Linked DNA regions of Callithrix jacchus. The protein of the gene in region 1 purifies or fractionates together with the protein of each later gene. This does not show direct contact. Links are inferred from orthologs where the notes say so. Each region holds a gene or a part of one and is shown in the gene's direction. Other genes may lie near its edges.

The links.
Region 2: the proteins of PRPF19 (region 1) and PRPF3 fractionate together in Homo sapiens (co-fractionation; 3 studies listed by BioGRID, with this or other methods). This does not show direct contact. The link is inferred for Callithrix jacchus from reciprocal best matches to the Homo sapiens genes PRPF19 and PRPF3.
Region 3: the proteins of PRPF19 (region 1) and SF3A1 fractionate together in Homo sapiens (co-fractionation; 3 studies listed by BioGRID and IntAct, with this or other methods). This does not show direct contact. The link is inferred for Callithrix jacchus from reciprocal best matches to the Homo sapiens genes PRPF19 and SF3A1.
Region 4: the proteins of PRPF19 (region 1) and SNRNP200 purify together in Homo sapiens (affinity purification with mass spectrometry; 3 studies listed by BioGRID and IntAct, counting the BioPlex papers as one, with this or other methods). This does not show direct contact. The link is inferred for Callithrix jacchus from reciprocal best matches to the Homo sapiens genes PRPF19 and SNRNP200.
Region 5: the proteins of PRPF19 (region 1) and U2AF2 purify together in Homo sapiens (affinity purification with western blotting; 3 studies listed by BioGRID, with this or other methods). This does not show direct contact. The link is inferred for Callithrix jacchus from reciprocal best matches to the Homo sapiens genes PRPF19 and U2AF2.
Region 6: the proteins of PRPF19 (region 1) and SNRPA fractionate together in Homo sapiens (co-fractionation; 3 studies listed by BioGRID and IntAct, with this or other methods). This does not show direct contact. The link is inferred for Callithrix jacchus from reciprocal best matches to the Homo sapiens genes PRPF19 and SNRPA.
Region 7: the proteins of PRPF19 (region 1) and CWC15 purify together in Homo sapiens (co-immunoprecipitation; 4 studies listed by BioGRID and IntAct, with this or other methods). This does not show direct contact. The link is inferred for Callithrix jacchus from reciprocal best matches to the Homo sapiens genes PRPF19 and CWC15.

The regions. Positions count from the first base shown.
Region 1 is NC_133511.1:117,920,557-117,924,056, reverse strand, and holds part of PRPF19 (pre-mRNA-processing factor 19), read left to right. Parts: intron 1-625; coding exon 626-781; intron 782-1,037; coding exon 1,038-1,107; intron 1,108-1,340; coding exon 1,341-1,426; intron 1,427-1,701; coding exon 1,702-1,872; intron 1,873-2,008; coding exon 2,009-2,114; intron 2,115-3,500. UniProt on the Homo sapiens protein: Ubiquitin-protein ligase which is a core component of several complexes mainly involved pre-mRNA splicing and DNA repair. Required for pre-mRNA splicing as component of the spliceosome.
Region 2 is NC_133519.1:10,267,563-10,271,062, forward strand, and holds part of PRPF3 (U4/U6 small nuclear ribonucleoprotein Prp3), read left to right. Parts: intron 1-1,861; coding exon 1,862-2,005; intron 2,006-2,872; coding exon 2,873-2,972; intron 2,973-3,144; coding exon 3,145-3,258; intron 3,259-3,500. UniProt on the Homo sapiens protein: Plays a role in pre-mRNA splicing as component of the U4/U6-U5 tri-snRNP complex that is involved in spliceosome assembly, and as component of the precatalytic spliceosome (spliceosome B complex).
Region 3 is NC_133502.1:200,941,207-200,944,706, reverse strand, and holds part of SF3A1 (splicing factor 3A subunit 1), read left to right. Parts: intron 1-1,549; coding exon 1,550-1,624; intron 1,625-2,076; coding exon 2,077-2,227; intron 2,228-2,541; coding exon 2,542-2,735; intron 2,736-3,500. UniProt on the Homo sapiens protein: Component of the 17S U2 SnRNP complex of the spliceosome, a large ribonucleoprotein complex that removes introns from transcribed pre-mRNAs.
Region 4 is NC_133515.1:6,132,103-6,135,602, reverse strand, and holds part of SNRNP200 (U5 small nuclear ribonucleoprotein 200 kDa helicase), read left to right. Parts: coding exon 1-194; intron 195-612; coding exon 613-765; intron 766-875; coding exon 876-956; intron 957-1,243; coding exon 1,244-1,327; intron 1,328-2,013; coding exon 2,014-2,120; intron 2,121-2,444; coding exon 2,445-2,563; intron 2,564-2,890; coding exon 2,891-3,045; intron 3,046-3,172; coding exon 3,173-3,362; intron 3,363-3,500. UniProt on the Homo sapiens protein: Catalyzes the ATP-dependent unwinding of U4/U6 RNA duplices, an essential step in the assembly of a catalytically active spliceosome. Plays a role in pre-mRNA splicing as a core component of precatalytic, catalytic and postcatalytic spliceosomal complexes.
Region 5 is NC_133523.1:48,521,816-48,525,315, forward strand, and holds part of U2AF2 (splicing factor U2AF 65 kDa subunit), read left to right. Parts: intron 1-2,351; coding exon 2,352-2,487; intron 2,488-3,318; coding exon 3,319-3,363; intron 3,364-3,500. UniProt on the Homo sapiens protein: Plays a role in pre-mRNA splicing and 3'-end processing. By recruiting PRPF19 and the PRP19C/Prp19 complex/NTC/Nineteen complex to the RNA polymerase II C-terminal domain (CTD), and thereby pre-mRNA, may couple transcription to splicing.
Region 6 is NC_133523.1:36,300,154-36,303,653, forward strand, and holds part of SNRPA (U1 small nuclear ribonucleoprotein A), read left to right. Parts: intron 1-866; coding exon 867-1,046; intron 1,047-3,500. UniProt on the Homo sapiens protein: Component of the spliceosomal U1 snRNP, which is essential for recognition of the pre-mRNA 5' splice-site and the subsequent assembly of the spliceosome. U1 snRNP is the first snRNP to interact with pre-mRNA.
Region 7 is NC_133511.1:45,351,680-45,355,636, forward strand, and holds the start of CWC15 (spliceosome-associated protein CWC15 homolog), read left to right. Parts: upstream 1-1,157; 5' UTR 1,158-1,265; intron 1,266-2,530; 5' UTR 2,531-2,538; coding exon 2,539-2,669; intron 2,670-3,521; coding exon 3,522-3,634; intron 3,635-3,938; coding exon 3,939-3,957. UniProt on the Homo sapiens protein: Involved in pre-mRNA splicing as component of the spliceosome. Component of the PRP19-CDC5L complex that forms an integral part of the spliceosome and is required for activating pre-mRNA splicing.

The DNA.
Region 1 (3,500 bases):
GATGTCAATAGTTATGTCTCATGAAATTGTATTGCTAAAAAAGATGGTAGTTATTTTTACCTCATGGTTTTTAATGTCCTAACTAAACAAAAAAATCGGTAAGTGACACGAAATTCTCTCCCTGCCCAAGTTTTTTGGAAAATTAACTTACGGTGGAAATCCATAAATGTGGGATGTGCTGAAATACCACTGTGCAGCCCCTTACAGTCCCAGTACTGCTCAGACCTGTGCCATGCAGTACAGTACCAGTTAGGTACATGTGGCTATTTAAATTTCAATGAAATAGAATAAAAAATTTAAACCCTCAATGGTACTAGCTACATGTTTCCTCCTCTGGTCCTGGAAATGGGGTGGGAAAATCGCTCTATGTTGCAGTTAGCCTTTTTACCACTAGATGGCGAGGCCTCCTACACAAGTCCTGATGCTGTATGAGTTACCATTTTAATAGCGTTTACCACTGGCTGTCTTGGGCACCATTGGGTGGGTAGGTGGTTCCAGGGAGGGCAGGGCTGAAAGGAGAAGCAGTTGTTGGTAGTTGTGGGCATCCCCAGCCCCCTTTTATAAGATTGTTAGGATCTATATCCTTTTTCTGACTGATACTCTCTGATATTTGTTTTCCTTTTAGGACCTGGTGTTTTCTGCTTCCCCCGATGCCACTATTAGGATTTGGTCGGTCCCCAATGCGTCTTGTGTACAGGTGGTTCGGGCCCATGAGAGTGCTGTGACCGGCCTCAGCCTTCATGCCACTGGTGACTATCTCCTGAGCTCCTCCGATGATCAGGTGCGGTCCCAGCCAGTGCCCTGGAGAGGCCTGCTGGTCCCCAAGCTTGAACATCCTGGGTGGCAGGAACATCTTCCCACCCCAGGTGGTTCCCCAGAACCTCAAAGGGGAATGTTTCCTCTGCTGGGAGGTGCTAGGTTTGCCAGGGTTTGCGAAACCAGGGGCTCTGCCTTCCTGAAGGGCCACCAAAGCCTAGGACCCACTCTCTCTCTGACTCCATCGTCTCTCTCTCTCTCTCTCTTTTTTTTTTTTCCAGTACTGGGCTTTCTCTGACATCCAAACAGGGCGTGTGCTTACCAAGGTGACAGATGAGACCTCCGGCTGCTGTAAGTTGCCTTGTAGACACTCAGCTTTTTGTTTGCTGTTTATCATTTATTTTTATGTTTTATTTAGTCATTTGCTTATTTGTTCTAAAGATACATTTACCACCAGCACCTGTCTAGTGCCAGGCTTTGTCCTGGGTGCACTGACGAATGTGAAGAACAAGGAACCTACCTTTGCTGCTCTTAGTCTCTCCCTGGTGGGCTCTAATCACAGGTCTGTCTTCCCTCTTCCACAGCTCTCACCTGTGCACAGTTCCACCCTGACGGACTCATCTTTGGAACGGGAACCATGGACTCTCAGATCAAGATCTGGGACTTGAAGGTAGGAGAACATGGTAGGCCTCCATCTGAGGCCCCGGGCTGGAGGGAGCGTCTGTGACAGTGCAGTGCTGATTGGGTGCTTGTGGCACCTGGCCTTGAGGGTGGAGAGACACTGGCTGTGCATGTGTGATATGATGGTGTGGTCTGGGTGGCATCCTGCTGGCTGTCCTTCCTGGAAGGACAGTGGTGGACATCTCAGGTAGGAGTTTGCTGAGCCCCATTTTCTTCCTCTCGTGATGTATGGGTGACATATTTTACTCCCCACCGCCACTGTAGGAACGAACCAATGTGGCCAACTTCCCTGGCCACTCGGGCCCCATCACCAGCATTGCCTTCTCTGAGAATGGTTACTACCTGGCGACAGCGGCTGATGACTCCTCTGTTAAGCTTTGGGATCTGCGCAAGCTTAAGAACTTTAAGACGTTGCAGCTGGATAGCAACTTCGAGGTGTGCCCCTCTCCCTCCCCAGCTTCCCATTGTGCCTCCTTATTTGTTGATTATTGAATTAATCTCATTGCTTCTGCTTATCTGCAATTGCCCCATAGTTTCTGTTCCCCTCGTGTGACCTTTCTGTTTCTAACAGGTAAAGTCACTGATCTTTGACCAGAGTGGTACCTACCTGGCCCTTGGGGGCACGGATGTCCAGATCTACATCTGCAAACAATGGACGGAGATTCTTCACTTTACAGGTAGAGGCTGGTCTCTAGGTGCCCAGGCCTGGAGGGAAGCCTCACTGGGTTAGGAATCTCTAAGGCTTGCATGAATTTACCTAAGCAGCTTTCGGTTACCACCTAAGGCAGAGCTTTATAGCTAAGGAAGCAGACTGAGACTGCATGGCAGTAAATGCTAGTACCAGCTCTGCCACTTCCATGCCTTGTGGCATTGGGCAGGTTGCTGGAGGAAGAGAAGACTCCTCCCTCTGAAGGTTTGCTAACTGAATCTGAAATAAATGGACATTAGACAGAGTGACAGGAGGAAAGCCATTTTAATTCTCTGTGCACGAGAGTCCCACAAAACATTAGACTTGCAGAGGGTCAGATGATTGAAGATCATACAGTCACATCCCTTAATGGGGATATGTTCTGAGAAATATCTTGTTAGGCCATTTCGCCATGTGCAACCATTATAGCGTGTACTTACACATACCTAGTGGTGTGGCCTACTACACACCAAGGCTAGTGCTATAACCTTAGTAGAGTCTATTATTGCTCCTAGGCTACAAACCTGTACAGTGTATTAAATGTACTGAATACAGTTATAACACAATGGTAAGTATTTGTGTATCTAAACAGATCTAAACATAGAAAAGGTTCAGTTAAAAATAAGGTATGAGAGATTGTTAAAAAATGGTGCACTGGGAAATGGTGCTTGCCATGAATGGAGCTTGCAGGACTGGAAGTGGCTTTCAGTGAGTGAGTGGTGAGTGAATGTGAAGGCCTAGGACATTACCATACACTGACTGCTGTAGACTTTGTAAACACAGTACACTTCGGTTCTACTAAGTTTATAAAACGCTTTTTCTTCAGTAATAAATTAGCCTTAGCTAACTTTTTTACTTTATAAACTTAAAAAATTGACTCTTGTAACAACATTTAGCTTAAAGCAAACATTGTACAGCTGTACAAAAATATTGTCTCTCTTTACATCCTTGTTCTATAAGCTTTTTTCTGTTTTCTAATATTTTTACTTTTTAATTTTTTCCTGTTAAAAACTAAGATACAAGCACACATTAGCCTAGGCCTACGGGTCAGGAACACCAGCTGTATTAGTCCGTTCTCACACTGTTATGAAGAACTGCCTGAGACTGGGTAATTTATAAGGGCGAGAGGCTTAATGACTCACAGTGACTGGGGAGGCCTCAGGAAGCTTCCAATCATGGTAGAAGGGAAAGCAGCAGCGGGAGAGACAAATGCTGAGCAAAGGGGGTAAAGTCCCTTATAAAATCATCAGATCTCTTGAGAACTCAGTATCCTGAGAGCAGCATGGGAGTAACCACCTCCACAATTCAATTACTTCCCACCGGGTTCCTCCCACAACATGTCGGGATTATGGGCACTACAATTCAACGTGAGCTT
Region 2 (3,500 bases), on another chromosome or scaffold:
CTTTTTTTAATTTTTTTTTTTTTCTGTAGACCTCCTCTGTGGGCAGTTTTCCTTTTTTCTTTTTGTAGCAAAGTTTTTGGCTTAGTTGTGGCTGTGTTTTTAACTAGCAGAATGCCTGGCCATGGATATGTCACTTTGAATATTGGGAATTTCCTCATTTGTAGAGATAATAACTGAAATGCATTCTTCAAGGCTTAGGCAAATCATAGGCTATTTTAACACTTGGGATAAACTAGGAGAAAATATCCTAATTGATAAATTTGCTTGACAGTATCTTTCAATAAGTTTAAAAAGTAGTTTGAGATCTTAATATAAATTATGACCAGGCCCGGTGGTAAATCCTTGTTTCTACAAAAAATGAGCTGGCAAGGTGGCATGCATGTGTAGTCCTAGCTACTTGGGAGGCTGATGGGGGGTGGATTGCATGAGCCTAGGAGGTAGAGATTGTATTAAGGTGTAAACATGCCTCTACTCCAGTTTGGGTGACAGAGAGAGACCCTGTCTCAAAAACAAAACAGACAATACAATTTGTAATAGTCACTGAAATTTACTTAACTAGATTCTACTTAGCGGTTATCAGTGTGAATCATTAGAAGAATGTGGAGTTTTTGTTTTTTGTTTTACTTATTTTTAAGTTTTTAATTTTTAATTTTTTTTTTTTTTATGATGGAGTCTTGCTCTGTTTCCCAGGCTGGAGTGCAGTGGTGCAATCTTGGCTCACTGCAACCTCCATCTCCCAGGTTCCAGCAATTCTTCTGCCTCAGCCTCCTGAGTAGTGGGACTACAGGCTTGAGTCATCATACCTAGCTAATTTTTATATTTTTAGTAGAAATGGGGTTTCATCATATTGGCTAGGCTGGTCTCAAATTCCTGAGGCCAGCCTAATTTTTTTTTTTTTTGAAACGGAGTTTCTCTCTTGTCACCCAGGCTGGAGTGTAATGGTGCAATCTGGGCTCACTGCAACCTCCACCCCCTGGGTTTAAGCGATTCTCCTGCCTCAGCCTACCAAGTAGTGGGATTATAGGTGCCTGCTACCACACCCAGCTAATTTTTGTATTTTTAGTAGAGGCAGGGTTTTGCTATGTTGGGCATGCTGGTCTTAAACTCCTGACTTCAAGTGATCCACCCACCTTGGCCTCTCAAAGTGTTGGGATTACAGGCGTGAGCCACAGCACCTGGCCCTAATTTTGTTTTCTATATTTGCCAGGTATCATTTGATGAAGGGATTTAATAACTTAAAGGAAAACAACTAAGAACACTACTTAAAGATAAGAATTTTTTTAAGAACATTGCCATAGTGCCTTGGCTTGAACTGATTTTAATCTTACTGATCTCTTATTAATTAATGAGTTTTCTTCATTCTCTAAAGTTTCAATTTTTTTTTTTTTTTTTTTTACATAAAATGTTTATAGTAGTCGGGTCTCACTTTGTTGTCCAGGCTGGTCTTGAACTCTTGGGCTCAAGCAATCCTCCCACCTTGGCCTACCAAAGTGCTAGAATTACAGGCATAGGCCACTGTGCCCAGCCTAATGTTTCTTTTAATGATATTGATATTTACCTTGGTCTCTTTAATACTATTATTGCTGGCTGGATTCAGTGGCTCATGCCTGGCCAACATGGTGAAACCCCGTCTCTACTAAAATACAAACATTAGCAAGGCATGGTGGCGTGTACAGGAGGCTGAGGCAGGAGATTCGCTTGAATCGGGGAGGCAGAGGCTGCAGTGAGCTGAGATCATGCCATTGCACTCCATCCTGGGCGACAGAGCAAGACTCCTTCTCAAAAAAAAAAAAAAAAATATATATATATATATGTATATATATTCTTACTGCTTTGGTATACTAATTTTTCTGCCTCACAGTTGACAATGATACACCAGTTACGCTGGGAGTATATCTTACCAAGAAGGAACAGAAAAAACTTCGGAGACAAACAAGGAGGGAAGCACAGAAAGAACTACAAGAAAAAGTCAGGCTGGGCCTAATGCCTCCTCCAGAACCCAAAGGTACATTTCTTAGTGGCCTCTGCCGCTAAAAAGGGTGGCAAGTTTATGTCTTTAATTCTAGAGGAACCTTAACATTTCTATATTTGGGTGATTTCTGTTTCTAAGAATCATTCTTGGAGTCTTTTTTCTCCAAGTTTTCTGCCATCTTTTCATATTAAGATAGGTCAACACATTCGTTATAGAGGCCATTTAAGGCTTATTTTTAAGCATACTGATTATATAAGCACTCTGGTTTTCCTGGAAGAATACAGGTCTTGAAATTCATTAAGATAGTAGTTGTAATATTTGTGTAGACTTTTATGTACATAATTCTTAATGTTTTAATTTTTGCAATGAAAGTATAGGATAAAAAACTTGCCCCTCAAAAAACAAAAACAAAAAAAATAAAGGGGTCCAAAGTGGCTCCCACTGGAGGTCGTGGTGCTTGCGAAGGTGAGCTCATGAGTTCAAGGCTAACCTGAGCAACCTTATAAGCTCAAACTGATTGGCAAAAATAAAAACTTGCCCCTGTAGTTACATACTCATTCAGCAATATTTTGAGTGAGTAACTGTTATGTATAAGCTCTTTTACCGGATGCTGTGATCAGTGTGAAAAATATGAAAGAAATTAAGTTCCACATCTATGAAGTTCCTTCATAAATTTTCAGGTAACATAAATGCATGCCAATTCTTCAACTTAATTGTGTGAACTTTCGCAAATGCTGAAGTGATTGGGTGGGATTTTCAAGGTAGGAGTTATTGGAGGAAGTGAGTTTAGAGCAGAGATTTGAAATAGGTAAATTGTATGAATTGGTATGGAAGAGATAACAAGTTACCCAGCTGCAGAAGTGACCTCAAAGATTGATTGCTGTCCTCTCTTCACTGCAGTGAGAATTTCTAATTTGATGCGAGTATTAGGAACAGAAGCTGTTCAAGACCCCACGAAGGTAGAAGCCCATGTCCGAGCTCAGATGGCAAAAAGGCAGAAGTAAGTGCCATGGGATTGGGTGGAAACCCCGGGCAAGTACCTTTCCCAAACTCTTCTGGGGGATCCACATTTGGAGGGAGGGGAGAGTCCTCCGTTGCTCTCTCTTTCCCTCAGCCCTGCCTCTGATCTTCAATGCCTTTCTCACTTGTGGATGTCCTTCCTGTCACGACAGAGCGCATGAAGAGGCCAACGCTGCCCGAAAGCTCACGGCAGAACAGAGAAAGGTCAAGAAAATTAAAAAGCTTAAAGAAGACATTTCACAGGGGGTACACATATCTGTATATAGGTAGGTGTCCATACTGGGCCAACCTTCCCCTTAGAATTACTAAAACATTTTCCAAGGGCTTGAGGCAGAATCACTGTGGCCTAAAAGCATATCTAATACCAGTTCCTCCTCTCTTTTAATGACCCTAGTCTGGATCAAGAGCTAGTAAATCTTTTATAAAAGTGAGGGTTAGTGACTTATGTTTATGGTTATCCAATTCTTCCGTCTCAAGTCTTTTTTTTACCAGGATGTTAGCTTTGAAA
Region 3 (3,500 bases), on another chromosome or scaffold:
AATAAATAAATAAAAAAGAATCTGGACAATTCAGTTCTGGCATTTAAAATAATCAGAATATAGGCCAGATGTGATGGCTCTCGCCTGTAATCCCAGCTCTTTGGGAGGCCAAGGCGGGCGAATCACCTGAGGTCAGGAGTTCGAGACCACCCTGACCAACATGGAGAAATCCCGTCTCTACTAAAAATATAAAATTAGCCAGGCATGGTGCTACATGCTGATAATCCCACTTACTTGGGAGGCTGAGGCAGGAGAATGGCTTGAACCACCCAGGAGAGGAGGTTGTGGTGAGCCGAGATCACACGATTGCACTCCAGCCTGGACAAGAGTGAAACTCCTTCTCAAAAAAAAAAAAAAAAGGCGATTTTTAATTTATTGCAGAGTGTGCTGGTATAGCTTTTCCTGTGGCATATTTTTCTTGCTACATACATCGTAGAGGTTGTTTTTCTTCCCTTTTCAGTGGGATGGTCTGTACATCTGTTCTTGATGTCCAGAAACAACACCTCAAATATCTGACTTGATAGGATTTCCTAACTTTACTCACTCTAAGTATATAATTAGGAAAAATTGTAAAAATGTGTGTGTTTAGAAAATGACAAATCCAGAAGATAGTATGGTAGCTAAAATAACAATCACTGAAGGTCCAAGGCCAAAGGGTTACTTTAAATATACAATATCAATTTTAAGTGAGCACTGGATTAATTTCTCCCAGTGGACTGCTTCCAGGGTTAAAGGTCCCATATTATTTTTTATTCTGTTACATTCCTATTTTTTTTCTTCTTCAGAATTTGGGTATTGGCATTTACCACTCTAACTTGAGAGTACTAGTGTCTGTTTCTAGCCATGGAAGACTCTGAGCAGATAGATTCTTGGGGTAGAGGTACAAGGAGAATTGGAATAGGGCTGAGCCACTTTGCCAGTGGCAGTAGAAGCTGTTGGGGCTGTTTAGAACAAAGGTTGCATTTGTTCTCTCAGTAAAAAAAATATCGTCAGACATTATTCAGGGTGCTAGAGATGTAATCATGAACAAAAGAGAGAAATCCCTGTCTTCGTGGAGTGTCTAGTCTAGTGAGAAGTCAAGTGCAATGTTAGTGTCTGTCAGATCGTGCTAAATACTGTGGAGAGAAAGAAAGCAGGAGGCAGAAATAGAGGTGGGGCAGGTAGGCTATGGTTCAGAATAGGATAGTCAGGGGAGACCTGCGTAGTATTTTCAAAGGGATAAGAGCAGGTCAGTCTCATGAAAGCAGCTGTCTCATACTGACCATGTTCTAGGTAATCTGCTAGTGCTTTGCGTGCTTTCCTGCTAATCCTTAAAGTAGCCTTTTCAAGTTCATGGTGCCAGCTTTGGTGGTGCCACTATTTTGGAGAAGGAAATCAAGTTACTGAGGTTAAGTAACTTGCCCCAAGTCCCACAGCCAAGTAGAACTGGAATTGGGACACAGAATCCCATGCTTCTCATCTCCTGTGCTTTATCACAGGCCCAGGAAGGTTGCCTCTTTGTCCCGCCTTATAAAGCACTGACAATTGCTTTAACTCTTCTGTATTTCAGATCTTGATTCCACCCAAAGGTTTATTTACAAAGCTCAAGAAAGAGGCTGAAAACCCTCGAGAAGTTTTGGATCAGGTAAACTGAACTGGATTTCTTGCAGCTAGTTACTGATGGTGGGTTCTGTTTTATGTTTGAACATAGACTCTGCAGCAGTACCTTGTTATGTTCCAGTCACGGGAATGGTGGGGAAACAGGCCTGGCTGGCTACAAAGTCCAAAGAAACCTGGAGTCCACATGCTTCCCAACGTATCACAACTTTCTGCTTTGCTCTCAGCCTCAATATGTCTCCTTCTTTTTTACTCTAGCTAGAAGGCAGAAGGCCAGCTCCCAAGCCAGTCACAGGGTGGAATTTCCATTCTGTCCAAACTCGGTGTGGGTGGAACCAGGTGCAAATACCATAGTTTGGAACCATAGTTCCATTCTGTTTTGAAGGAGGCGCTGGCTTTGCTGAAAGCACTGAAGGTGGTGGCCTCATCGGGAGCAGACCCTGCTTCAGCTTAGCACCGAGCTCTTTCCCATCCCTGCAGGTGTGTTACCGAGTAGAATGGGCCAAATTCCAGGAACGTGAGAGGAAGAAGGAAGAAGAGGAGAAGGAGAAGGAACGGGTGGCCTATGCTCAGATCGACTGGCATGATTTTGTGGTGGTGGAAACAGTGGACTTCCAACCCAATGAGCAAGGTGGGTCTGTGAGGAGTAACACCAGATGGGAGCCAGGAATTCTGAGACTTCCTGGGAGACCTTGCGCAAGTGTTGCCAGAGAGCAGCAGAATCTCTCAGAGGACTTTATCAGTATCTGTTTCCTCTCTGCTCCCAGAAAACTTCATTTCTACCACTTTGCCCAAGATAGATTCAATACGTACTTGCCAGACCCTAGATGGGCCTCTGGAGATAGCTGGAGAGAAAACAGACATAGCTTCAGCCCTTGGAGAGCTCAGACAGGGCTAATAGATGGGTCTTTGATAAGGAATGCCTTTGCCTCTGGCTCCCTCTAGGGAATTTCCCACCCCCCACCACGCCAGAGGAGCTGGGGGCCCGAATTCTCATTCAGGAGCGATATGAGAAGTTTGGGGAGAGTGAGGAAGTTGAAATGGAGGTCGAGTCTGATGAGGAGGATGAGAAACAGGAGAAGACAGAGGAGCCTCCTTCCCAGCTGGATCAGGACACCCAAGTGCAAGATATGGATGAGGTAAGCTGCTGGGTGGGCCTGTGGGATGACCTTTCTCCCTGAAGACCCTGGAGATAGAAGTACTCTCCACCAGTCAGATCCAACTCCATTGTGAACCTTGAAAGGAGGCGTGGGTCCTGAACAAGGCAGTACAGCTGCTCAAGCCCAGGCCACACAGAGCCTCTTTCCAGCTCCAGCAACAAAGATTCATTCATAGGCAAGGATCTAAAAGCTGTGTCGACCTGTTCTGTGGCCGCCTTCCTGGCTTGGACACTCTGCTCTCACTGCCTCATGCCAGCCCTCAGCTAGGGAACTCTCTGCATGACCCTATTCTGTTTTGATCTCTCAGCTGGGCTCCAAGCTCCCAGAACTCTTGTAAATGTAGCCCACACTTCCTTTCAGGCATCCCTGCCCCCTTCGAGCCAAGCAGGCATGGAGTCTCCAGAACCAGACTGTTCTCCCCAGCTCGGAAAGAATTTGTGCACAGCCTGAGAAGAAAGGGCCCCTGTGTCTGTGGGAATTGACTTTTTCTCTCCCTCCCAGCATTGCTGTCTGAGCGGCTACCATTGATTGCCGACTCCCCCCTCCACTGCCCCCCACCAGCATGTTAAGTGCCCTTGGCCTCTTGGGACTGCCTGGTGCCAGCTGCTGGAAGTGCCTGGGAGGAGTGCTAGGACCATGGCCCCAGCGCTCCCATTCATACTATGAGGAAGCCACTTGGCCTGCTGCCGGCTGGCCTCAGCTGCCCTGGGAGGCTTAGCACATGGATGCTGCCTGGCAGAGGCC
Region 4 (3,500 bases), on another chromosome or scaffold:
CAGTGAACTGGCTAGGCTATGCCTACCTGTATATCCGAATGCTGCGATCCCCAACCCTCTATGGCATCTCTCATGATGACCTCAAGGGAGATCCCCTACTGGACCAGCGCCGACTAGATTTGGTTCACACGGCTGCTCTGATGCTGGACAAGAACAATCTGGTCAAGTATGACAAGAAGACAGGCAACTTCCAGGTGTGTGGTGGGTGAGGGTTTTGAGGCAAAGGTCTCGGCAAAAGTCAACCCAGGAGAAAATATGTCAGATTGCTCTTAGATAGAAGTGAGTACTGCCTATCTAATCGCTTGTTGCCTAGAACAGCGGAAAAATGGGTAGCTTTCCCCATAACTTGGGGTGGATAATTTAGCTGTCTTGTCTGTGCAGACACTATGGGTCAGCTTATTGTGCCATTTTTTTTCATGTGCCTGGGCCTGGCATTTGTACTGCTGTGAATTCATCTAATTGTCCTGTAAGGTCAATAACTTACAGGACATTGAGTTACATACTTTACAAAAAAACTGCACAAAAAACCTATAGGACAATAACTTATGGTCCACAGTTAGAGGTTGGAGCTCATTAATAGTCAGTACTGGATTGAGTCTACCTTCTCTCCAGGTGACAGAACTGGGCCGTATAGCCAGCCACTACTACATCACCAATGATACAGTGCAGACCTACAACCAGCTGCTGAAGCCCACCCTCAGTGAGATTGAGCTTTTCAGAGTCTTCTCATTGTCCTCTGAGTTCAAAAACATCACTGTGAGAGAGGTGAGCCTATGCAGCGTGTTGGGGGCGGGGAGTTGGTGCTCACCAAGTCACTGAATGGTTTCCCTCCTCGGCCTCTGGACTTTCCCTTGACGTTTTCCTCCTTGTGGCAGGAGGAGAAGCTAGAGCTGCAGAAGTTGCTAGAGAGGGTGCCTATCCCGGTAAAGGAGAGCATCGAGGAACCCAGCGCAAAGGTGAGCTCCTCTTTTTGCTTTGATCAGGATGAAGATTATATAGTTTTCATAATCTTCTAAAAGATGAACCTCGAATTTGAGTTCATGTGTGATACCCTCCTCAGTTCTCCTAGTTTTTGCAGCTTTCTTACATGTTCTTTTTATATGAAATAACAATTATTTAGTATTTGTAAGTCAAGAGCTATAGAAGATCTCACCTGGCATGAATGCTCAGAGCAGAAATGTACTTCCCTTTCTTGTACTGTTCAGTGATTGGTCTCCTGCTGGATGATTTTGCTTCTTTCCAGATCAATGTTCTTCTACAAGCCTTCATCTCGCAGCTGAAATTGGAGGGCTTTGCACTGATGGCCGACATGGTATATGTCACACAGGTGAGGGCAGAGTTGTATGGGAGCTGTGAGAAGGGGCCTGAACAGTTCAATCCCTGTGTGCTGTATGCATCCTGGGGAAAGGAGGCCTGACCCTAGTGAGATGGGAGGAATGCTTAGTTCTGTTCTTGGTAGTTGGTTGGTTGGTGCATGTGTGGTACAGCCACTCTGTAGTACCCATCTTGAGCACATGAGAAAGGTAAGGCCTTAAGAGGGAATGCTTTGAGACTCCACAGGCCCTCAGAGAGACAGGAAGAGCCACGGGACACAGTGTCTCCTTCTCAACAGAGAAGTGATTTCCCATTGTGGCTGCAGAACTCATAAATTCCAGAAATGGCACAGGGTTTTATTAGCTGCTCTTCATCTTTACCTCTAAGAACAGGTTACTGGTAACCCTTAACTCTTCGTAGAACTCTAAATGCTAAATGAGTCAAAAGCTCTAAAATCATGCAGTGAATGTTAGGTTAAAATGTGGTGCAGTGACCTTGAGCAGCACTTTTCTAATTGTTCCCCATTTGGTAAGCATCTACTATATGGAAGGGAGAAAGGTGTAAAAACAGAGGGGATTTGCCTTCAAGTTGGGGTGGGTCATTGCATCAGAGCTGGAGTAATGAAACCATGTGTAGAGTGGCTAATGAGGCCTGGGGATAGTCAAGACTTAGCAGTGGGAATGCTGTTTCTTTTCCTAGTCGGCTGGCCGGTTAATGCGAGCAATCTTTGAAATTGTCCTGAACCGAGGTTGGGCACAGCTTACAGACAAGACCCTGAACCTCTGCAAGATGATCGACAAACGCATGTAAGGGCCCAGTGAGCTGGATGTTGGTCACCATGAGTGAGTCCCCAACCCAAGGGTGTTTTGGGAAAGCCTCAGGGTGCATCTGATTTCCAGACCTGACATCTGAAATATGACCTGAACCTGGGTGCACATTGAGAAGAAGTAAGGCCCTCTGTGGTAGGGCTGGGGAGTATGAGAAAGGTGGAGGCCAGGGCTGGCACGGTGTCAACGTCCACCTTTAATGACTGTCTTGTGTGGTCACTGCTGAACTATTGGAGCCATGATGTGGGCAGTTTGTTGCATCCCTGCAGAAGGGACCAACAGCTTTGCCTCTTTCCTGGATAGGTGGCAGTCCATGTGTCCTCTGCGCCAGTTCCGGAAACTCCCTGAGGAAGTAGTGAAGAAGATTGAGAAGAAGAATTTCCCCTTTGAGCGTCTATACGACCTGAATCATAATGAGATCGGTGTGTGGGAAGCTCTCGCCCTTGTCCTCACTGCCTGGGGTCTTTCCCAGTCGGCCTACGTAGTCTTCCAGTTTCTAGGCCTTCTGCATTAGTATCCTTTGTTCAGTTTGTAGTCTTTGAGTTCCTAGGCCTTCTGCATTAGTATCCTGTGTTCAGTTCTCAAGTTCCACTGAAGTACAGGCTGGCCCTTGGACTGGGGACTTGGAATCCTGCACTCCACTGACAGTAAAGGGAAGACTATCCCTTTCCCACAGTGTCCCCTCAGGCCCAGTGTGCAGTATAGTAGGCAGGCTGGGCTGCAGCCTCAGTACTCTTATTTCCCCATAGGGGAGCTTATCCGCATGCCGAAGATGGGGAAGACCATCCACAAATATGTCCATCTTTTTCCCAAGTTGGAGTTGTCGGTTCACCTGCAGCCAATCACACGCTCCACCCTGAAGGTAGAGCTGACCATCACGCCAGACTTCCAGTGGGATGAAAAGGTGAGGCTTTGCAAGGCAGAGGAGCTGAATTGGAGGCACCAAGTCTATGTTGGTGGCAGAGGAGCTGGACTGGAGGTGCTCGGTCTATGTTGTCTCACATTCCTTTTACCTGTGCTCCTGTTGGCAGGTGCATGGATCATCAGAGGCTTTCTGGATTCTGGTGGAGGATGTGGACAGCGAGGTGATTCTGCACCATGAATATTTTCTCCTCAAGGCCAAGTATGCCCAGGACGAGCACCTCATCACGTTCTTCGTGCCTGTGTTTGAACCGCTGCCCCCTCAGTACTTCATCCGAGTGGTGTCTGACCGCTGGCTCTGTGAGTGTCTCCTCTCCAGAGTCCCCAGGAACAGTCCCTCCAAGAACAGTGGAATGTCTTGCAATTTGTCCTGGTCTTCTGGGATTGCCTTTGCCGGGGACAGAGTGATACATACGCTGCCTAGGTTGCCAGTGTTCA
Region 5 (3,500 bases), on another chromosome or scaffold:
GCATGGTTTTATGTTGTTGGTAAGTAGAAAAACAGGTACTGATTTTGAGCTCTGGCTGGCTGCAAAGCCACGTTCCTCTATGCTGACCACCAAGTCGAGCTGATTGGTCCGTTCTTTGAGGCCCTTAGATGGCACCGTACTGGTTCTCCTGTGGTTTCTCCTCTGATGCTGGGAGGCCAGTGCCTGGACCTGGCGTGGTTCCTGGGTTGGCGGAGCTGCTCCCATAAGATGACCACAATACAATGTTTTCAGCAAACGAAACTCCCTTTCTGTTTTTACCTGTCCAGCATCAGTGTGTGGGAGAGGGTTCTTGCCGTAGGGGAAGCTCTGCCCGCGCACACGTATCATTCTGGCTGTGGGTCTTTGTCTCTTTGGAGGACGGGCCAGCTTCTGTACCTGCCCGCTTCTGCTTCAGCGCCTTCCTCTGCTCGCTGTGTCTACAGGGAATTTCCTTGTCTATGTCCCAGGCACCCAGCCAGGCGTCACTGCTTTCTGTGCGTGTGTTCCTTTCTGCCTGCTGCCTGTTTCAGAGCCTTAGCAGCAGGAAGGGCTCCTGGGGCTCACAGCCTGTCCATCTTTCAAGTGTGGAGCCAGCGCTGTGCCCGCTGCCATGCCTGTGTGCTTACTCCGCTGCTGGCTTGTCCTGCTGATTGTTCCCCCCCGTTTCTGTCTTTGATTTTGGGGTTTTGGGCCTTCAAGCCGACAATTGCATTGTCATTAGTGGTTCTAGCCAGAATGTCCTGCCTGATCCGAATTCAGGAGCATGGCCTCATGCTGAACTTGATGGCTTTACAGAGTTGAAATTCCGGCTTCACCATTTTCTAGCTGTTTGGCCTTGGGCAAGTTGTGGTCTCTCTGTACCTCAGTTTCCTTATCCATTATGTCAGCCCCCAGCAGTGTTTTTCTGAAGCAGTAGTGAGGATTAAGTACAAACAGAACTTTTTTTTTTTTTTTTTTGAGACAGAATTTTACTCTTGTTACCCGGGCTGGAGTGCAGTGGCGCGATCTCGGCTCACCACAACCTCTGCCTCCTGGGTTCAGGCAGTTCTCCTGCCTCAACCTCCCAAGTAGCTGGGATTACAGGCATGCGTCACCATGCCCAGCTAATTTTTTGCAAACAGAACTATTTAATACAGATTTCCGTCGTAAGAAGCATCACATTATTTGTTACTGTTTTTTTCCCCCCGCTGGGTGCATATTTTTCTGAGTGTTGGTGGTTTTGGAATTGTGATGCTTTTCCCAACATTCATCTGGTGTCAGAATAACAAAATGCTGGGTGAGGCTGAAGTTTAACATTCTCCCTCTGTGCCTTTTCCCCCCTCTGGCCCCAGGGATCATCACTCTAGGTGATGCTTGTTAACATGTATGAGCACCTTAACATGTGCATCTTGTGTGTGTGTGTGTTTCATGGATAGTTGAGAAATCTGGGTATCTCTGAATTCAGGGAATTCTAAGTGGTGCTTATGAACACCCCCAGCTCATGGTTTATCCTCCATCTTGAAGGGTTGGTCTTCAGGAGTTGAAGGGTCTGGTGGAAGCAGAGGTTTCTGTGGTTTTGCCAGTGAGGCTCTGTTTCTAGTGGCCACCTTGGAGGAAAATAGGACGTCTGGAGGCTGGCGGAGATACACACCCGTACTCTACAACCTCTCCAGTACTTGGCTTTGAAGGGAGCGAGGCAGGGAGAGTCAGGTGGTTTGGGGTGAAAGTCTGGGTAGGGCAAGCTCCTCCCCTGACCTGCTGAAGCAGAGGAGGGCTCTGTACCCTCCATCTGCAGCTGCTTCAAGGCCCTTCACTCCCCGGGGGAAGCGTGCTTGCTTCTGCATTATTCACCAGGTTGGGAAGGGATGGGTTGAGTTTCCCTGCTTCCTGGGGATATCAAATCCTGCCTGGCACCTGACCTCTAGGCCTGATGATGGGGCTGTGGGTGCCAGCTGGTTGCAGAGGTCTTTCCTGAGGGGTCTCTGCGTCCCTTCAGGAAAACATCATTGGGTCTCTTGATTCCCCAGCCTCTAGCCCTGCCCCTCTCAGGGACGACCCTGGGGTCAGGCCCCTCAGCCCTCGAGGGGGACCAGGAGCCAGCCTCTGTCTTCTCTGGCTCCCCAGCTCCTCCTGAGCATCCTCAGGTATCTTACACCCCGGGGGCATTTCCAGGCCCGTCCCCCTGGTCCCCTCAGGGTCCCTGGACTCGCTTGTGGATCTAGGAGGCCTGTTAATTCCCTTCCTCCATCGAATCCCTTCCCTTTGGGGGGTGGCCTCCCTGGGGCTTGGGACATAGCCACCAGTGCGCAGGGTGGGCTGGGTCCACATCCTTACTCCGCTCATCGCATCCCCTTCCTCTCACCCTTGCCCAGAGCGGGACAAGGAGAATCGGCATAGGAAGCGCAGCCACAGCCGCTCTCGAAGCCGGGACCGCAAACGCCGCAGCCGGAGCAGAGACCGGCGCAACCGGGACCAGCGGAGCGCTTCCCGGGACAGGCGGCGCCGAAGGTACTAGGGCTCAGGGACCCCGGGCTGGGCCAGCCTGGGAGTCGGGTGGGGGGTGGGTGTTGGCCAGCCTGGGGGTGGCCCATTGATTCTGTATCTGGGCCCAGGCCTTCTGTGGCTCATCTTTCTTTGTGTGGATCTGGGGGAGGGATCTACTGCTTGGTCTGTCTTGAATTCCGATTTTTCCCCCGTTTCTGGGGTTTCTTTCATTTCCTCTATTGGGGGTTGCTGGTGGGTTGCTGGGAGCAATAGGTTCTTTCTCTGGGGCCATGGAATTGATTCTGTGTTTTCCTTTGCAAGGGGCTGTTCTCTGTCTCTGACTCTGACTGCCTGTTTCTTCTTGTCAACTCTCTGGGGCTCTCTGTGGGACTCTATTCGAGGGGGTTGGTCTCTGCCTCCAGTTTCTTTCTTCCCTGCCTCCTTGGAGAAGGGAGCTCCTGGGAGTGAGGCAGTGTACACAGCCTGGGCTTCTTTTCTGGCCCAGGGGTGTTGGTTTCCACCGCCTTTTTCTCTCTAGGCTCCCGTCTCTGTTCTCTGCCCCTTAGGTGAGGAAGGGCAGGATAGGCAGAGTTCTCCTGCCTTCTCCCAGCAGTTTCTCCAGCTAGAGACTGGTCCTTCCTGGCCCCTGGCCCCTGTCTCCTTTCCTCACTTCCTCTTTCCTGGGGGTGGGAGTGTTTGGGGGGAAATGGCAGGGCCGAGGGGGGCCTGCTTGCTGCTTGTTCACCTCGGCCCTGCTCCCATCCTGGGGCTCAGTGCCCTTGGGGGGGTGTGGCATGTGGGGAAGACGAGGGTCCCCAGTCACCCCTCCCCATACCTTTCCCTCCCACCCCCCAGCAAACCTTTGACCAGAGGCGCTAAAGAGGAGCACGGTGGATTGATGTGAGCTTCTCTTCCTGCCCCTTCCTCCCTGATGTCCACTCCCTTCACCTTCCTCACGCCCGCCTACCCTGCCCTGTCCGCTTCCAGCCCTGGCCCAAGCACTGGGAAGAGTCCACTTGCCTTGAAACCAGCACCCC
Region 6 (3,500 bases), on another chromosome or scaffold:
CAGGGTGTGGGTGTGGGTGTGTGAAATGTTATAGGAGACTGGGTGGGCCTGGAGTAGAGGAGGGGATATGAGGGTTAATTGGCCAAGGTGAGGCTGGACCAAGCTCCACTGCACCTTGCCTCATTTCAATAACAAATTTTTGTTTGGCTGGGCACCGTGGCTCATGCCTGTAATTCCAGCACTTTTTTGGGGGGGGTGGGGGGATGTTGTTTTGCTATTGTTGCCCAGGCTGGAGTGCAATGGCATGATCTCGGCTCACTGCAACCTTCACTTCCCAAGTTCAAGTGATTCTCCTGCCTCAGCCTTCCAAGTAGCTGGGATTACAGGTGTGTGCCATCACACCTGGCTAATTTTTTTAATTTTTAGTTCAGAGAGGGTTTCTCCAAGTTGGTTAGTTTGGTCTTGATTACAGGTATGTGCCACCATACCTGGCTAATTTTTTTTTATTTTTAGTAGAGACAGGGTTTCTCCATGTTAGTCAGGCTGGTCTTGAACTCCCGACCTCAGGTGATCCGCCTGCACCTCAGCCTGTCAAAGTGTTACCGTTGTGAGCCACCATTGCCTGGCTTTTTTTTTTTTTGAGACAGTCTTGCTCTGTTGCCCAGGCTGGAGTGCAGTGGTGTGATCTCGGCTCACTGCAACCTCCTGGGTTCAAGTTATTCTCCTACCTCAGTCTCCTGAGTAGCTGGGAATACAGGTGTATACCACCATGCCCAGCTAATTTTTGTATTTTGGATGGAAATGGGATTTTGCCATGTTGGTCAAACTGGTCTCGACCTCCTGGCCCCTGATAAGGTCCAATTTTGAATCTTGGCAATTGGGCTCTGAATCCATGCCCTTAACCCATTCTGCTCTCTGTTTGGTAGCGTATCCAGTATGCCAAGACCGACTCAGATATCATTGCCAAGATGAAAGGCACCTTTGTGGAGCGGGATCGCAAGCGGGAGAAGAGAAAGCCCAAGAGCCAGGAGACACCAGCTGCCAAGAAGGCTGTGCAGGGCGGGGCAGCTGCCCCCGTGGTGGGAGCTGTGCAGGGGCCTGTCCCGGTAAGCCAGGGCCAGCAGACCAACCCTCCTACTGACAGGCTTTCCTTAGCCACATGGACTGGCTTTGGGACAGGGTGGGGAGAGTTCTCCCCGTGGGGCTTCAGACCCCTCCTTTCCATTCCCTTATAGAGATTATGTGTCCGTCTCTCTTTGGGGGGTGTTGAGCCCCTAGATGATACTATCTCCACTCAGAACGCCTGTGTTGAGCCCCTAGATGATACTATCTCCACTCAGAACGCCTGTTCCCGTGTGACTGTTTCTCAGTGTCTTTCTTTCTTCCTGGCTACGTCTTGGTATCGCTGTCTCCTTGGCCTTGATTTTGTTGCCTGTGTCTTTTTGTTGTTGTTGAGATGGAGTCTCACTCTGTTGCCCAGGCTGTAGTGCAGTGGCGTGATCTCAGCTCACTGCAACCGCCACCTCAGGTTTAAGCAGTTCTCCTGCCTCAGGCTCCCAAGTAGCTGGGAGTACAGGCATGTGCCACCACACCTGACTAATTTTTATATTTTTAGTAGAGATGGGGTTTAACCGTATTGGCCAGGCTGGTCTTGAACTCCTGACCTCTTGATCTGCTCGCCTTGGCCTCCCAAAGTGCTGGGATTACAGGGATGAGCCATCATGCTCATCCTGTCTTTTAAGTCATTGTGCATGTAGAAAATCCAAGTATCTACTAAGCAACTGTTAAGATTGGTTTAGAAAGGTCACTGGGTATAAGGGCAATGTGGAAAAAATCAGTTTTATTACGTATTTATTAATTATTATTATTTTGAGACGGAGTTTCGGTCCTACTGCTCAAGCTGGAGTACAGTGGCATGATTTTGGCTCACTGCAACCTCAGCCTCCTAGGTTCAAGTGATTCTCCTGCCTCAGCCTCCCTAGTAAGTAAGTGGGACAACTGGTGGGTGCCACCATGCCATGCTAATTTTTTGTTTTTTTGTTTGTTTTTTTAGTAGAGACAGGGTTTCACCATGTTTGCCAGGCTGGTCTTGAACTCCTGGCCTCAAGTGATCTGCCCACCTCAGCTTCCCGAAGTGCTGGGATTACAGGCTTGAGCCACTGCACCTGGCCCTCACACAATGAAGTTTCTAGAAGAAAACAGGAAAATGTCTTCATGACCTTGGTGAGGGCATGAAAAGTGGAAACATCCTGTTTTCTAAACAGAATACAAAGAGCACTAAGTACAAAAGAAAAGATGGACAAGGCCGGGCATGGTGGCTCACACTTGTAATCCCAGCACTTTGGGAGGCCGAGGCGGTTGGATCACGAGGTCAGGAGTTCAAGACCAGCCTGGCCGACACAGTGAAACCCCATCTCTACTAAAAATACAAAAATTAACTGGCATGATGGCAGGCACCTGTAATCCCAGCTACTTGGGAGGGTGAAGCAGGAGAATTGCTTGAACCCAGGAGGTGGGGGTTGCAGTGAGCCAAGATCACACCACTGCACTCCAGCCTGGACAACAAAGCAAGACTCTGTCTCAAAAAAAAAAAAAGAAAGAAAGAAAGAAAAGATAGACGAACCGGGCCCACTCCTTGGGTCTCTGATCCTCTGTGTCTCTCTGGCTTTTGTCTGTGGCTCTGGCTCTGACTGAGTTGTGCTCTGTTCACTGCCACTCACACTTTCTCCACGTCACCTATGGCGTCCGATTACTGTGGGCTCCTGTTGTTAACCTCTCTCTGCAGTCTTCACTGCACGCAGCTTTCTGTCCACTTTCCACTTCAGATTGTGACTCCAGCCCCTGTCTGTGCTGCCTGCCATCTGCGGTCTTCCCTCTTCCCCTGGCTGCCATGCGTTTCGTTCTGCACCTGCCCTGAGTGTCCCTTGCCATCTCTGCCCTCATTTGTATTTGTTTATATTTTTTGGGACAGATTCTTACTCTGTCGCCCAGGCTGGAGGGCAGTGGTACAGTCTGGGCTCACTGCAACTTCTCCCAGGTTCAAGCAGTTCTCCTCCCTCAGCCTCTCTAGTAGCTGGGATTACAGGTGCCTACCACCAGACCCAGCTAAAATTTGTATTTTTAGTAGGGAGCGGGTAGCACCGTGTTGCCCAGGCTGGTCTCAAACTGCTGGGATCATAGGTGTGAGCCCCCGCGCCCGGCCTACCACACGTTTCTTCCTGCCCCTTCCCTGACTGCCCCTTTCCATCTCCGCCCCTTCCCCGACTGCCCCTTTCCATCTCCGCCCCTTCCCCGACTGCCCCTTTCCATCTCCGCCCCTTCCCCGACTGCCCCTTTCCATCTCCGCCCCTTCCCCGACTGCCCCTTTCCATCTCTGCCCCTTCCCCGACTGCCCCTTTCCATCTCCGCCCCTTCCCCGACTGCCCCTTTCCATCTCCGCCCCTTCCCCGACTGCCCCTTTCCATCTCCGCCCCTTCCCCGACTGCCCCTTTCCATCTCCGCCCCTTCCCCGACTGTACCTTTCCATCTCCGCCCCTTCCCCGACTGCCCCTTTCCATCTC
Region 7 (3,957 bases), about 73 Mb from region 1:
TGAACTGTATGTGAAGAGTGAAGGTAAAAAAATTTAAATAGGCACTCTGGGATTTTGGTTTGAGTAACTAATATGATGACCTTTACTGAGATGTTTAACACTGGAGGAGGGATATCTTTGGTAAGAAAAATCAAGATTTTCATCTTGAACTTTACGAGTGAAAAGGCTTTTTCTGCTTTTTTTTTTTCCCCTTCATTTAAAAGTTGCAAAGAATTTAGGGATAAGAAAGCATTTAAATTTTCAATTTTGTGAGCTCCTTACATTTTAAACTAAGTTGGGGACGTTGAATTTCCATTTAACAAGTATTTATTGAGTAACTACTATACGTCAAGGTCTACGTGATGATATACCAAGATGAACTAAGCATTCAAGACCTCTGTTCTCAGATTGACTTATTTTTTTATGGAAGGGAGGTGAGACGATTGGTGGGTTTTTTGGTTTTTGGGTTTTCTCCTTTTCGTTGTCTTATTAAAACTTAACACTTGAGTAGCCATCTTAATAACTACACTGTGCTTCTGGCAGTTGGGCCCACCGTTCTAAACGCTGTCGTAAATACTGACATCTCCCCTCCCACAAGAACTAACGTTTTTTAAATAAAAAAATTTTAGCAAACATTACGCATACAACCTTTGCTTTGAAGTGTAATATTTTTGCAGGAATGGTACCTTTATAAAGATCGTGGTTGCCCCGTACTTATTTGTTCTTTCTTCATATCCAATTAAATGAAAACACTAGTTTTTCCGAAGCCCAACTCTCTAGGCTTGTTGGTTCTAGCTCAGGATGGAAGCAGGAGTCGTTGGATTTAAACAGTTTGGTGTAATCCTTTTCCACGCTCTAACCCGCTAGCCGGGGACGTGGTGTCGGCTACCCGGGGCTTTCCGTCCACGCAGTACCGGAATGGAGTCTGGGAGGGGGTCGGGGACGGAAAAGACGGAAGAGACATTAAGTAATTGGTTCTTGAAGGTATAAAATGATGTTTAGGGTCTACTCTAAGGCACTGATTTCAAACGCCCGCCCCCTGGGCCGTTTAGGCCCCGCCCCTTATTGCCCTTACGCCAACTTCCACTTTGGCCTCTGCGGATTGGTTGTTATCTCCGCCTCAGAAGCGCTTGGGTTTTGCTTCCGGGTCATAGGCCTAGCCCTGAACGCAGAGGTTCCTGGGAGCCAAGCGTAGTAATGGCGTCTGTATGATATTCGGAGCCTGCTGCATCGGACCTCGGCCAATGTGAGTGACAGGAGGATAACAGATTATCTTCTTTATCCCGGTAGGACGGGAAAGGGCAGTTGGGATTGGAGTTGGTGGCAGAGTGCTGAGCGCGGGCGGCGGAGGCCCTGAAGCAGCTCGCTAGGGGCGGAACCGAGTGCCTGTCAGGCGCGTCCGGAGCTCTAGGCCTGCGGTTAAGATCGCAGCGTAAAGGCAGCTCGCCTACCGCTTAAAGCGAGCCTCAGGTCCACCCTTCACTACTCCTCGCATCCCTGTAGTGCTAGGCACGGGTGAAGAGGTAGCGAGTTTCTGGTTATAGCCAAAGACTAGCTCTCCGGAGGCCAGAGTGATAATTCTGTTGGCGTGTGGGAAGGCGCGGTGCCCCCAGAGCCAGATAATCCTGTTTCTTCTTTGAAGACATGCCTCTACCCTTTTCGGAAATCAAGAGAAATAGACCCCTGCCAAAAAAAAAAAAAACGAAAAAACAAATCCTCCCAATTCACCCACCCTCCCACACACTTTTCCGACACTTACAGCGTCTTAGTAACTAAATCTGTTAGACAGTATTCTTGTGATTGCGCCAAGCAGAAAATAAAGAATGTGTCCCTGGTTTTTGGTATTAGAATCCTCTGGGGCGAGGTTCTTGTTTTTTTGAACAGTCCTTAAATTATAACCCACAAGAGATCTGAGTTATAATATGATGCCTGTTGTAGAAGAAAATTGGATCAACAAAAGGTTGTTTAAGAATTTTTTTTCTATGTAACTGTCATTGAAGTTTAACACTTTTGCCTAGGGCACTTAATAACTTCGTCAGTGATTTTTTAAAAATTGTTTTTGGCTTTTGTTTCTGTTAGTCTATTTGCTATTGTGTGAAATTTAGATAAAATACAAACCTTAGAGAGTTTGGTGGAGTAAGGTTGAGCTGAGAATTTTTAAAACTCAGTCATGGCAGTACGGTATTTTATAAGGGTTTTGACATGTCAAGTGTCGTAATTCTTACAATAATCCTAGGAGGAATATCTCCATTCCGCTGATGACAGAAAGTTAAGCTAGGTGACTTCGTGAAGCCCACAGAGTCAGAAGAATAGGGATGCAAACTCAGATCTTCGTGACAGAATTTTTTGTACTAAGACATGTCTGGGAATCCATATTCCTTGTACTGCCTAAGCCTCATAATTTTTTTTCTTGAAAACTTTTGTTTAAGAAGATTAAGCAAGTTTTGGGGAATGAGTTTTAGAACTTATATCACCAGGATGGATATTGATTAATACTCTAAAATGAGAGTTCGTAATGTTGGAAATAACTTGATACTATTTTTCTTCAAAGCATAAAAGATGACAACTGCAGCCAGGCCAACCTTTGAACCTGCAAGGGGTGGAAGAGGAAAAGGAGAAGGTGATTTGAGCCAACTTTCAAAGCAGTATTCAAGCAGAGACCTACCTTCTCATACAAAGATAAAATACAGGTAATAAGACTTTTTTGTTGTCGTTCGCAAAACAAGACCAAATCTGTTAAATGACATGGTCATGATATAGTAGTATGTTTGAGTTATGTTACTTATTTATTTTCATAGACATAGAGTGCAACAGGATGTTTAACACTAAAATTTTGCTCTATGATTTTAAAATGCAAAATTCCTACTAACCAGGAATTTTCATATGTAGATAGAGCAATAAATAATATAAATAATAATGCCTCAGAGAGACTATGCACAATCAGCACCAGTCAATATATTAAAAATGTTACTGTTCTGAGTTGATATAATACTAATTACAGATATTTTAATCTGTGTAAAGCCGGCTGGGCGCAGTGGCTCACGCCTGTAATCCCAGCACTTTGGGAGGCCGAGGCGGGTGGATCACGAGGTCAAGAGATCGAGACCATCCTGGTCAACATGGTGAAACCCCGTCTATACTAAAAATACAAAAAATTAGCTGGGCATGGTGGTGTGTGCCTGTAATCCCAGCTACTCAGGAGGCTGAGGCAGGAGAATTGCCTGAACCCAGGAGGTGGAGGTTGCGGTGAGCCGAGATCGCGCCATTGCACTCCAGCCTGGGTAACAAGAGCGAAACTCCATCTCAAAAAAAAAAGAAAATCTGTATAAAGCCTTATCATGGGAAAATACTGAATTTGGATTTCTCGAAATATTGGGAACATCACAGGAGTGGCTGTTAGTAACCCTCAGATTAGCTTATGGTCTTGTCTATTTCCCTTTTTTATGCTTGAAGGACAAAGTCTCATTCTTGAATTGTCTTCCATTACTACAGTTGTGTGTGTGTGTAAGTAACATTTTTGCCCTGGCTCGTTTTTACTTTAGACAAACTACTCAGGATGCCCCTGAAGAGGTTCGTAACCGTGACTTCAGGAGAGAGTTGGAAGAAAGAGAGAGAGCTGCTGCAAGAGAGAAAAATAGGGATCGTCCAACCCGAGGTACCAACACTATCCCAGACATTTGTCTCATAAAATTATCTTTTTGATAGTTTTTCTTTCATGTAGCAACTGGAAAATGTTAACCATTTGTTTGCTTTTACACTTGATGTGAGTTATAATATTTAAGTCATTAGAGATGATAATAACAAATATTTACCAAAAGCATATTTGCCAGGCACTGTGGATATGATTTCTGTTGTCATAAATGCTTTTAATGTGGGCTCTTTGTACCCACAGGTCCCTAAAACATTGTAAGAAATGCAGTATTTGTTTTACTAAGTTAAATGATTTTTGTTTCCCCCAGAACATACAACCTCCTCTTC